2 linked regions of the Caenorhabditis elegans genome follow. The gene in region 2 interacts genetically with the main gene of each other region. Each region holds a gene or a part of one and is shown on either strand. Other genes may lie near its edges.

Region 1 (2,738 bases), on a different chromosome or scaffold from region 2:
TTTGGGGGCACTTAATACAACTGAAAATTAGTCTATCATGAGAAATGTGTCATCATCATTTTGGTTTGGAAAACAAAATCGCGTTTTACTAATGGTAATAAGTACCAAAATTTGAAAAAATAGCAATTTAATTTATCTGTTCTCATTTATTATACTATTTCCCTATATGGTTTCCCGTTTAATAGAACTAATAGTAAATGAACACTTCTCCAGCTTCCGGGTTTCCACTTCCCCCATTTTTGTGATGCCGAGTGTGGTCCATCCGTTGCCCCTATTTCCGTTACCCCTGGGGATTGTCGGGATTTTTTTAATGGGTTAAACCTAGATTTTCTGAAATCAGCATACATGAATTACCCGTTTTCAACAAAATTAGGCAACTTTTTATTTTTGCCCAAATTTTTTTCAGCCATCTAACAAATTTAGATGTTTGACGGATTATTATCTAGTGCAAGTGCACTAGATTTTTTATTGAAAGTGACTGTGCGAGGAATTAAATGTTTAAAAATTAATTCATTTATTATTTTTAATTTTTTCTCGAAATTGCTAAACCTCTGGTCGATGTGTATAATTGGAGAACATATAATAATGCTCTGACAAAGAAAATATGGAAGTAAGACAAAAAAGCGTGGGAAATTCAATATTGTAAAAAAAAAGTTGAAAATTAGACAAAAATCGGGGAGAGATGTCAAGTGATATGAAATACAAATTAATGGGCGTGGCCAGGGAGGGGGCGGGGTTATTTAAAATTTAATTATCAAAAAAAATCTATATGGAGAAGCAGTCTTTACTGATCAGTGAATTTTTATACACGTGGCATCAAATTTGCGGGGGCGGGGAATATTATGCAGAAAAATTTAAAAAAATTACAAAGTCTTCACAGTGTGGGTTGTTTTCTGACGAAATACCAGTTTTCCAAAACAAAAATTCCAGAAATTCAAATTTTCAGTAGATTTTGAGCGAAGAGTCTTCATGGATTTCAAGAATTCCGTGAACGTCAACTACCTAGGATTTTACCAGGGATATATCCACGGATTTTTTTCTCAAAAAATCGTGGTGACTCAAAAAAAACGAATGAAAAACGCTGCTAAATGAGATTTCAACTATTTTGAGAAGTGAGGATTCGTATAAGAGAAGTTAAGGAATGCTTCAGGATCGATTGAAGCCAGTAGGTTCTTGTCGTGCACAGGTGTCAACGCCGCCTTCTCGTTCGTGAAGTCGTCGTCGAAGTTCGAGGCGTCCGAGTTGGATTTCTAAAGAAAAATATTTAAAAAGTGCAAAATAAGGAGGTTTTAGGGAACCTGGAACTTTATGAGTTGCAAAAAACACTTGTTAAAATATTTTAGCCCCATACGGGTTCGAACCCAGGCGCTGAGATTACCAGACAAGCCTATATACCAGGGGTGTGCGGATAATAGCCGAATTAGCCGAATTAGCCGATCGGCTAATTCGGCTAAAGTACTCGCAATGCAAATATTTGAAGTTTTCTACAATTCTTGATCCTCGCTGGAAGGTATTACTGAAAAATGACGTTGATACAATACCATGTGAAATCATACAACTTTTTCAGGATATCTACTCGGATCAGGATGAAGTGTTGGAGTTTATTAGAGCCGTCGAAAAGGAAGACGATGAGCCATACAGCAACGTAGATTCTGAATATGATGACTTTGGTGATTCATCAGAAGTAACCGAACCTGTTGCGAAAATTCAGAAAACGGACTTTGAGCTTTACATTCAGGTAAATAAAATTTGGAAAAAATTGAATTTAATGGATTGATTTGCAGGAGAAGATCAAGTCACGTGGAAAGCATATAGCGTTAACTGATCAAAGTTTAACAGTGAAAATGGAGGTCACCCGATATCTTTCTACTGCAGTAGAATCAATTTTTCCCAGAGATTACTGGTTGAATCCTTTGAGTAAATCTTCATACCCTCGTCTTTCCCAGTTTGCTCGTCGCTTCGTCATTTGCCCAACAGGTTCCAGCGAAGTCGAAAGACTATTTTCAACGGCGGGAACTATTCTGACTAAATATCGAAAAACGTTGACATCAGAAAACTTCAAAATGCTTTTGACTTTGAACAAAAACATTCGTTTAATGAATCCGGATATGGAAGTCAAACTTCCTTCGATGATTAAATCAATTAATAGTCTTTTTTGTTACAAACTATCTTTCTTCGAAAATATTTCCTTCTCCTGATCTTTTACTGTTCTTTGTTGTTTCTTATTGTTTCTTAGTGTTTCTTGTAGTTGTTTCTATCTTATAAAACTGTTATTTTAAAATTGTCTACTGTATCGGAAAAGAAAAATTATTTTTAAAAAAGAAGGGACGATCCGTTCTTCAAGTGCTATGCACTGCAGATATGGAAGTCGGGTACACTGCCTTGTCTTGCTCCCAAAATTAGCTAGAACAGAAAAATTAACTACTTTTCTTGTAAATTAGCCGAATTAGCCGAATTAGCCGAAAATTAGCCGATTCGACCGATAAATTTTAGCCGAGTTATCCGTTAGCCGAAATTTTTGAAATTAGCCGTTAGCCGATTGTTAAAAAATCGGCGTTAGCCGATTTATCCGTTAGCCGAAAAAATCGGTTATCCGCACACCCCTGTTATATACTATACCTACTGCGCCACTTGCGCAATTTTTCAAATTTCGATAACAAACCGGCATTGACGTAATTTTTAGTACTGAATTTGTAGAACAAATTTTTCAAATGTAGCGATAGATTTTTAGGACAAAT
Region 2 (6,837 bases):
ATTAAAGTAGAACTACAGCATTTAAAATTCAAATTAATTTCAATTTTAGTTGTTTGAATGTTGTGGAGTAACAAATTCATCCGATTGGCTCACATTCACAACAATTCCTGATTCATGTTGCATTGAAGAAATCGAGGGATGTGCTCGAGAGAATGCTCCACTCTTTGAGCCCGGATGCATTCACAGTGTCGAACGTTAGTCTTTTTTTTCCAAGAAGATCAAAGTGTGCTCTGTTGCACTTTCTCAATAGAGCATGATTGGGCTTATCGGAAATTTGATTGTTTTTTTAATTGCAGAATGGGTGCTCAAGAATGGAGCAATGGTCGGCGGAATTTGTGCAGTTTTGGCAGCAATTCAATTGGTCGGAGTCTGTTTCGCTTGTTGTCTTTCAAAATCAATTCTCAAGGATTTCCATGACTTTTATTATTAGTTCATAACCATCCGTTTTTCTTTGCAATCCTTATTTTAGGTTCTTTCAATCGCCGTGTCACAAATTAAACAATAATAATAATGTATAATTTATATATGAATATACGATGAAAAAGAAATTGAGGATGAAGAAAAATAAGCAACCGCATAAATAATGAGTAATAAATTCATAACTCTAAATTCGAGACAAAGACTGGGATGAAAGTGGTTTTACCCTGATTGGAGTGCTCAAAGTGTGAAAAAAAGTGTGTGAACCTTGTGCTGGAGCTGGTGACAACAGAACTTAAGAACATGAATAAACGAGATACATGAAAAATGGCAGCGAGAGAACTGATCTACAGTAACCTGAATTGAAGGGGGTTCTTTTTTGACTTTTCTCAAGCTTCTTTCTGCCCTTTTTGTCAGATTTCAATGTAATTCCACTCAAAAATATCATTTTTCACCATCTTTTCCACTCGTTGTCTCTCTTTTGCTATGTAAGAGCGCATCTTTGGGAGCCGGTTCTTAGAAATGTGCTCGTCGCAACTCAAATCAGGAAGCATTGAGAGACAACGAGTAGACGAGGAGAGTGTAGACACAGAGATGGATCATGCTCTGGGGAATGATTCTGTGAGAGGAAGGGGACCGATGGGCGCCGTCCGATGAGCAAGAGAGAGCATAAGAATAAGTCAGAAAAGTTACAAAGAATGAAGAAAAAGAAACATTTGAGTTGGTTGGGAAAAAAGTGAGAAAAGGAATGAGAATACATATAAATAGGATAAAATGACAAGAAGAGACTATCACCTCATATTAACCTGATCAACATGAGCAGGTACAGTAGGTGACCTCGAAGAGAGTGCCAGGTAAGCCTTGTGATAACTTGAAAGAGTTTTTGAAGAGACAACCCAAATGGCACAGGTTATACCAACAACCAATTGAGACACATATCTGAAAATAAGAACATTTAGGGGTTTCGAATCAAGATAAATAATTCATATTAACTAGACGCGAAATTATGCAGTCTCGGCACGATCCAATTTTGTCGAATATGCGCCTTTAAAGAGTACTGTAACTTCGAAGTCGCGTTGCTGCGGAATTTACATCGATTTTTCATGAATAGTTTTTCTTATGTTAGGCTTTTTGTGTTTGAATTGCTTAATATTTAAATAAGAATATTTTTTATCAAGAAGCGATGAAAATTCTGCAGCAACAAGAGTTTGAAACTACAGTATTCTTTAAAGGCGTATACATTTTTGCATTTAACAAACATTCGTCTTGTCGAAACCGGATGTCGCATTTTTGGCGCAAAAATCAGAAAATCAAATTTAGATTATACAGATTGAAATTTAACTGATTCACAGTTTCAAACTAACTTTAAAAGAAAAACAATAATCTCCGGAGCTGCAACTTTCGGATCCATCGGACAATCATCAACTGGATACGTGAAACCGAATAATTCTCGATCTTGAAGTCGAACACATCGATGATGAAGCCATCCTTCAAGCCAGGCAGGCATATTTACTGCCTGATACCACATAATTGCAGCATTCATTGCAGTTGGTAGAGAGTACATTATGGCGAAGGCACCGATTCTGAAAATATAATATTTGTATGATAATATGAAACGAATATCAGAAAAGCGATTCTTAAGTTTTTCTTATTTTGTTCGGTTCTTAGGAAATCCAATTTTTTCGTTTTTTTTTTCTGAAATTTTGGAATTTTAAATAAAAAATGATTTCCAGGGAATTCTCGGGTTTTAGAATAATTTATCAACTTTCCAAACTGAAATCAATATATCTACATCAGTAAACCTAGTTTGCTCGTCTTTTTCTGTACATGTTTTTCCAATTTTTCGTTTTCCAAAAATCGAAAGTATTTCTTTTCTGATTAAAAAAGCTCAGGTACTTTTGAAGATTTTCAAAAATTTGAAATATCGAACCTCAACATTAATTTCTCCAATTTACTGATATTCCTCTCAACATCGGCGTGTTGAAGTTTAATATAACTTCGAATACGGATCATTGACCAAATTCCACAAACGAGTAAAACTGCTCCGAGTGCTGCAAATAGAACATTTCTGAGAAGAAAACGAAGATAAATAACGATGGAACACACAACGAAACGAATTCAATTTCGGTCTTCCCCCACCATAATATTCACAAAAAAACTAACCCAACGATACAACGATCGGAGTGAAAAAGAAATAGACGAGAGCAGAGGGATTCAAATTTCCAACTGAACAGATTCCAGTAAATACATCTCCATCGACAGAATTTGTCACTAGTACAGTAACCGAGAGAACTGCTGGAACTCCCCAGCACATTGCGTGGAAGTATGGTGACAGAGCAGCAATTGATTCAGCTCCCCATTTCAGATTTGCCGCCAGGAACCAGGCTAGACACAGTACAAGCCACCTGAAAGAATACTTAGTATATAAAATATCATTTTAAAAAGGCTGATAGCTGTTTAAATCAAGATTAAAAATTTGGGTGTCGATTTTCGATTTTTCAATGAAAACAAAAATTTTCGATTTTTGTTTTTTTTTTGTTTGAAGAAAAAATACATTTTTTTCATGAACAAAATTTGATAAAAATTGAATTTTTTTTTTGATTTTCCGATTTTCCGGAAACGGGGTTTTTTTCATTTAAAATTTGGTTTAAAAAAAATATTTTTTAGATTTTTGTTACTGAAAATTGTCGAAAATCATAAATGTAATTTTTTTCTGAAAAATTACACTCGAAATTATAAAAATTAAAATTTTTATCAAAATATTCAAAAAGTTCTTTAAAAAAAAAATGTTTCAGTTGTCGTTTTTTTGTTGAAAAATGTGTTTGAACAAAAGAAAAACATGCCGATTTTTTTTCGAATGCACATTTTCAAAACCAGTTTTCTATTTGTGGTACAAAAAACGGTACTTTTTTCGTTAAAATACAAAAATTAACGAAAAAACTCACCACGCACAACTTGACATGAAGAAAAAGTAATGAACAACAGCAAGAGCACTACATCCAACATTTTCTCCTCCTTGCGTAACAAGTGTTGTTGGAGTAGATCCATACGTTCCACAAGCGAATCCATCTTCACCGACTACGCCTGTAGAAATACATTTTTAGTTTCTAAAAAATCTGATTTAAAAAAAACAGAAAATTCAACTCACCTATCATATAAACCGTAGAAATTGCTAGATAACAGAACGCGAGATACAAAATCGGTCGAACTGGATACGCGAATCGTGATAAATCAACAAGAAATGTGACAAGAGTGAATAAAGAGCACACGAAACATGCCACAGACCATGCTGCTGTCCAGATTCGAAGAATTCGTCGAACACGTCCATCAAACATCATTGGTACTTGATTGTCAGCTTCACATGTTAATGAACATTCAGGAAGGCGTCCACTGAGAAGAGGCAATGAAAAATGAGATCCGCTTGTTGTATGCATATGATGAGGGCATTTTTTTGGAGAAAGGACAACTTCGTTGGCAATTGTTGAAACACCGAATGTGACGTCATTACTACTTCTGTAACTTGAAATATTTTATATTTCGATCTACGGAAACTTGTTTTATTGTTCGATAAAACAAAGAATTTAGAAATCTCGATGTACATTTTTTTCGGAAAATTTCTAAATTCAAAAACTTTGATAAAAAACTATTTGACGCTTTGGAGTAGGAGTTTTTATGGGGCTCAAAAATTCGGAATAATACTTAAATTCAGCCAAACTTGTCAGTATCACAGCGGCCGTAAATTTAATTTTCAGAGAGCTTTTTTTTTTTGAAAACTCTTACGAGGTTCGGTCTTTGCAGGCCATTCTGAATTTATTATTATTTTTCTTTAAATGCAAAACCGATGATTTTAACTGAATTTACAATTTAATTTCTCGCTGTATTTAAAAAAAGGATTCTAGAACGGTTCCCGTAAATTTAAACTTTAATTCATGTTTTGGGTACTTTTGAAATTTTTGTTGTAAATATATATCAATTATAAATTCTTATTCATAAAATTATGCAGAAAACCCACTTTTTAGAGTTGCTCGACTCGCTGGAATTCTTGCCAACACACAAATCAGTTACTGGGAATTTGTTACAATCCAATTGATCTGGCCATTGAAATCCAAACTTTTTCATTAATGACTCGCATCCATTTTTTGCAGATAAACACAATTCTCGACATGGTTGAATTGGTTTTTCGAGTACTGTACAGACAGGTGCATAGACAGTACAAAGAAAGAGACGAATATCTTCTGAGCATTTAACTTTAATTAATGGATTGAATTGCGCAATTGCTGGACCAGCTTCAGATTGTGTTGTATGTCCGAGAAGATTTGGAAATACTGTTTGATTGTAATCCAGATTTTTGCACATTGGAATTGTAATATGTTCACATTTTCGAGTTGTTGAGAATCCATTCATCGATGAAATTGAAGTTGATGAGAGTCGTTGATCAGCTGATAAGCATCCGAATAAAAATAATATCAGAATATGTCGATGCATTGTAATTGATAGTTTTGAAGAGATTTCAGATTGACAAGTGTTAGTTCATAGCAGGATTCGTCTGAAAATATAAAAAATTATTAAAGAAATAGTTTTTTTGGTTATATGTATAGAAGAAGTTCAACATTATTTAGTTAATAGTTTGTGAAATGGAGAGAACAAAATTCTAGAAAAATGATTTTTGGCAAAATTTGGAAAAAAAACCGAACTTAAGTAAATAGCTAAAATCTTTTTCAGAAAAAATCGAAAAAAAATGTTTAGAAAATTAACAAAAAGTGAAATTTTTAATGAGTTGTTGATGTGGATAAACATTTTCAAAAAATTCTTCTAAACGGAGGAAAATGGCCAACAATTTTAGATATTTTACGAAAAATCTTTTTTTTTCTCGAAATATCAGAAAACCAACACAAATACTTTCCGGCAGTTGGCAAAGATGACACATTAAAAATTTTGGCTAAATTTAGGGATTTCTCTTCGAAACATTTTCTATAAACATTTTTTGGAAGGTTTTATTGGAATTCAAAATAGAAGACTCGGTCCATAAATTGACCTTCAATTGATGAGAAAACATTGAATTTTCAAAAAAAGTGAAATGGTGTAATGTTGACATTGGTTCCAAGTGCTAAATCGAATCAATGAATCGTGAAATTATAGTGAGAAACGTGGCAAAGAAAGACAAAGAATAGTAGATTTCGGTATCTAAGTGAATCTAATCTTTAGATTACTGTACAACATGCCTCTAATCTCTTTTTTGTAATACTCTCTCGTTACGCAACTTCCGAGAGAACGGAGCACACACACACAGTAAAGAATAATTACGGCTCGGAATTCGAGAGTAATTAATGATGATGATGAGCACTGACCTAATGAAAAGATCGAAAAAGAGTGAAGAGACACAGGCCACCTGCTGCTCGAGTGTCAAATGGGCAATGAACATGCAAACGGATGAGGGAGGAAGGATTCAAGAATTTTCAAACAGTGATTCATTTCGAAAATATTCTTGTTATTGTTTGGAGAGAATTGAGGAAAATATAGATGAGAATCGAATTGAGAAAAACGGGGACGATCGATCTGTAGAAGAGATAAGAGCAATGACCTAACTGGTAGAATTTTTTGGCATTTCGGAAATTAGTTTTTAGTTTTTAAATATTTAAGTTGAAGAAAGCAAAGAAAACATTTAAAACAAATTGTCTGAAATCAACGATATTCTTAAGCAAAAGGACGCAAAATATTGCACCAAAAATACGGTACCAGGTCTCGACACGATAAAGTTTTGTTTGCGCCTTCAAGGAGTACTGTAACTCGCATTGCTGCGGATTGTTTTGATTTTATATAGGTAAATTCATGGATTTTCATTGTTTTAATCAAGTTATTTAATAAATCAATATTTTCTATCGGAAAACTATAAAAAATCGATGGAAATTCCGCAGCAAAGTTTAAAGTTACAGTACTCTGTCAAGGCGCACAGCTTTCTACATTTATCAAAAATTTGGCGCGTCGAGAGGTACCGTATTTTTTGCTAAAAATCGCAGAATCGAGCCTGAAAATTATATAAATAATTTAATTGTTTTCGAAATTCAAAAAAAGATGCCAGAAATTTAATATCGACGAACTCGAGGAGCACATAAACATATTATTTGAACTTTTGAATAAACTTTTCCAACATCCGAACTGGGAGGCCGAGTTTCGCAATGTGAAGAGCCAACATACACGTCTCGTGCCGGAGATGGGTGTCAAATTCAATTCCCGAATCAAATCAAATGAACAAATAGGCCCGTCGTTTCGATGAAAAAGAACTGACGAGAGCAACACAACTGGGAGCTTGTGACCAGAAGAAAATGGAGCAAACGAGTGATTTGTGATTGATAACGGAAATGAAAAATGGACGCGGAATTGGAAATAGTGGAAAAGAAGAAGAGGTTCAGACAAGATGGT

The links. A genetic interaction does not mean that the proteins touch.
Region 1: of mom-5 (region 2) and B0545.4, changing one enhances a phenotype caused by changing the other (phenotypic enhancement), as found in Caenorhabditis elegans (one large-scale study listed by BioGRID).

What each region holds. Positions count from the first base shown.
Region 1 is NC_003282.8:108,514-111,251, reverse strand, and holds B0545.4 (HAT C-terminal dimerization domain-containing protein), read left to right. Parts: upstream 1-1,844; coding exon 1,845-2,198; downstream 2,199-2,738. Other genes in the region: tpa-1 (Protein kinase C-like 1), read right to left, coding at 1,101-1,250.
Region 2 is NC_003279.8:9,963,706-9,970,542, reverse strand, and holds mom-5 (Protein mom-5), read right to left. Parts: upstream 4,964-6,837; 5' UTR 4,903-4,963; coding exon 4,430-4,902; intron 3,937-4,429; coding exon 3,566-3,936; intron 3,502-3,565; coding exon 3,363-3,501; intron 2,823-3,362; coding exon 2,581-2,822; intron 2,469-2,580; coding exon 2,348-2,468; intron 2,001-2,347; coding exon 1,782-2,000; intron 1,357-1,781; coding exon 1,209-1,356; 3' UTR 506-1,208; downstream 1-505. Other genes in the region: tsp-7 (Tetraspanin), read left to right, coding at 50-194, 297-430. UniProt on the Caenorhabditis elegans protein: Receptor for Wnt proteins.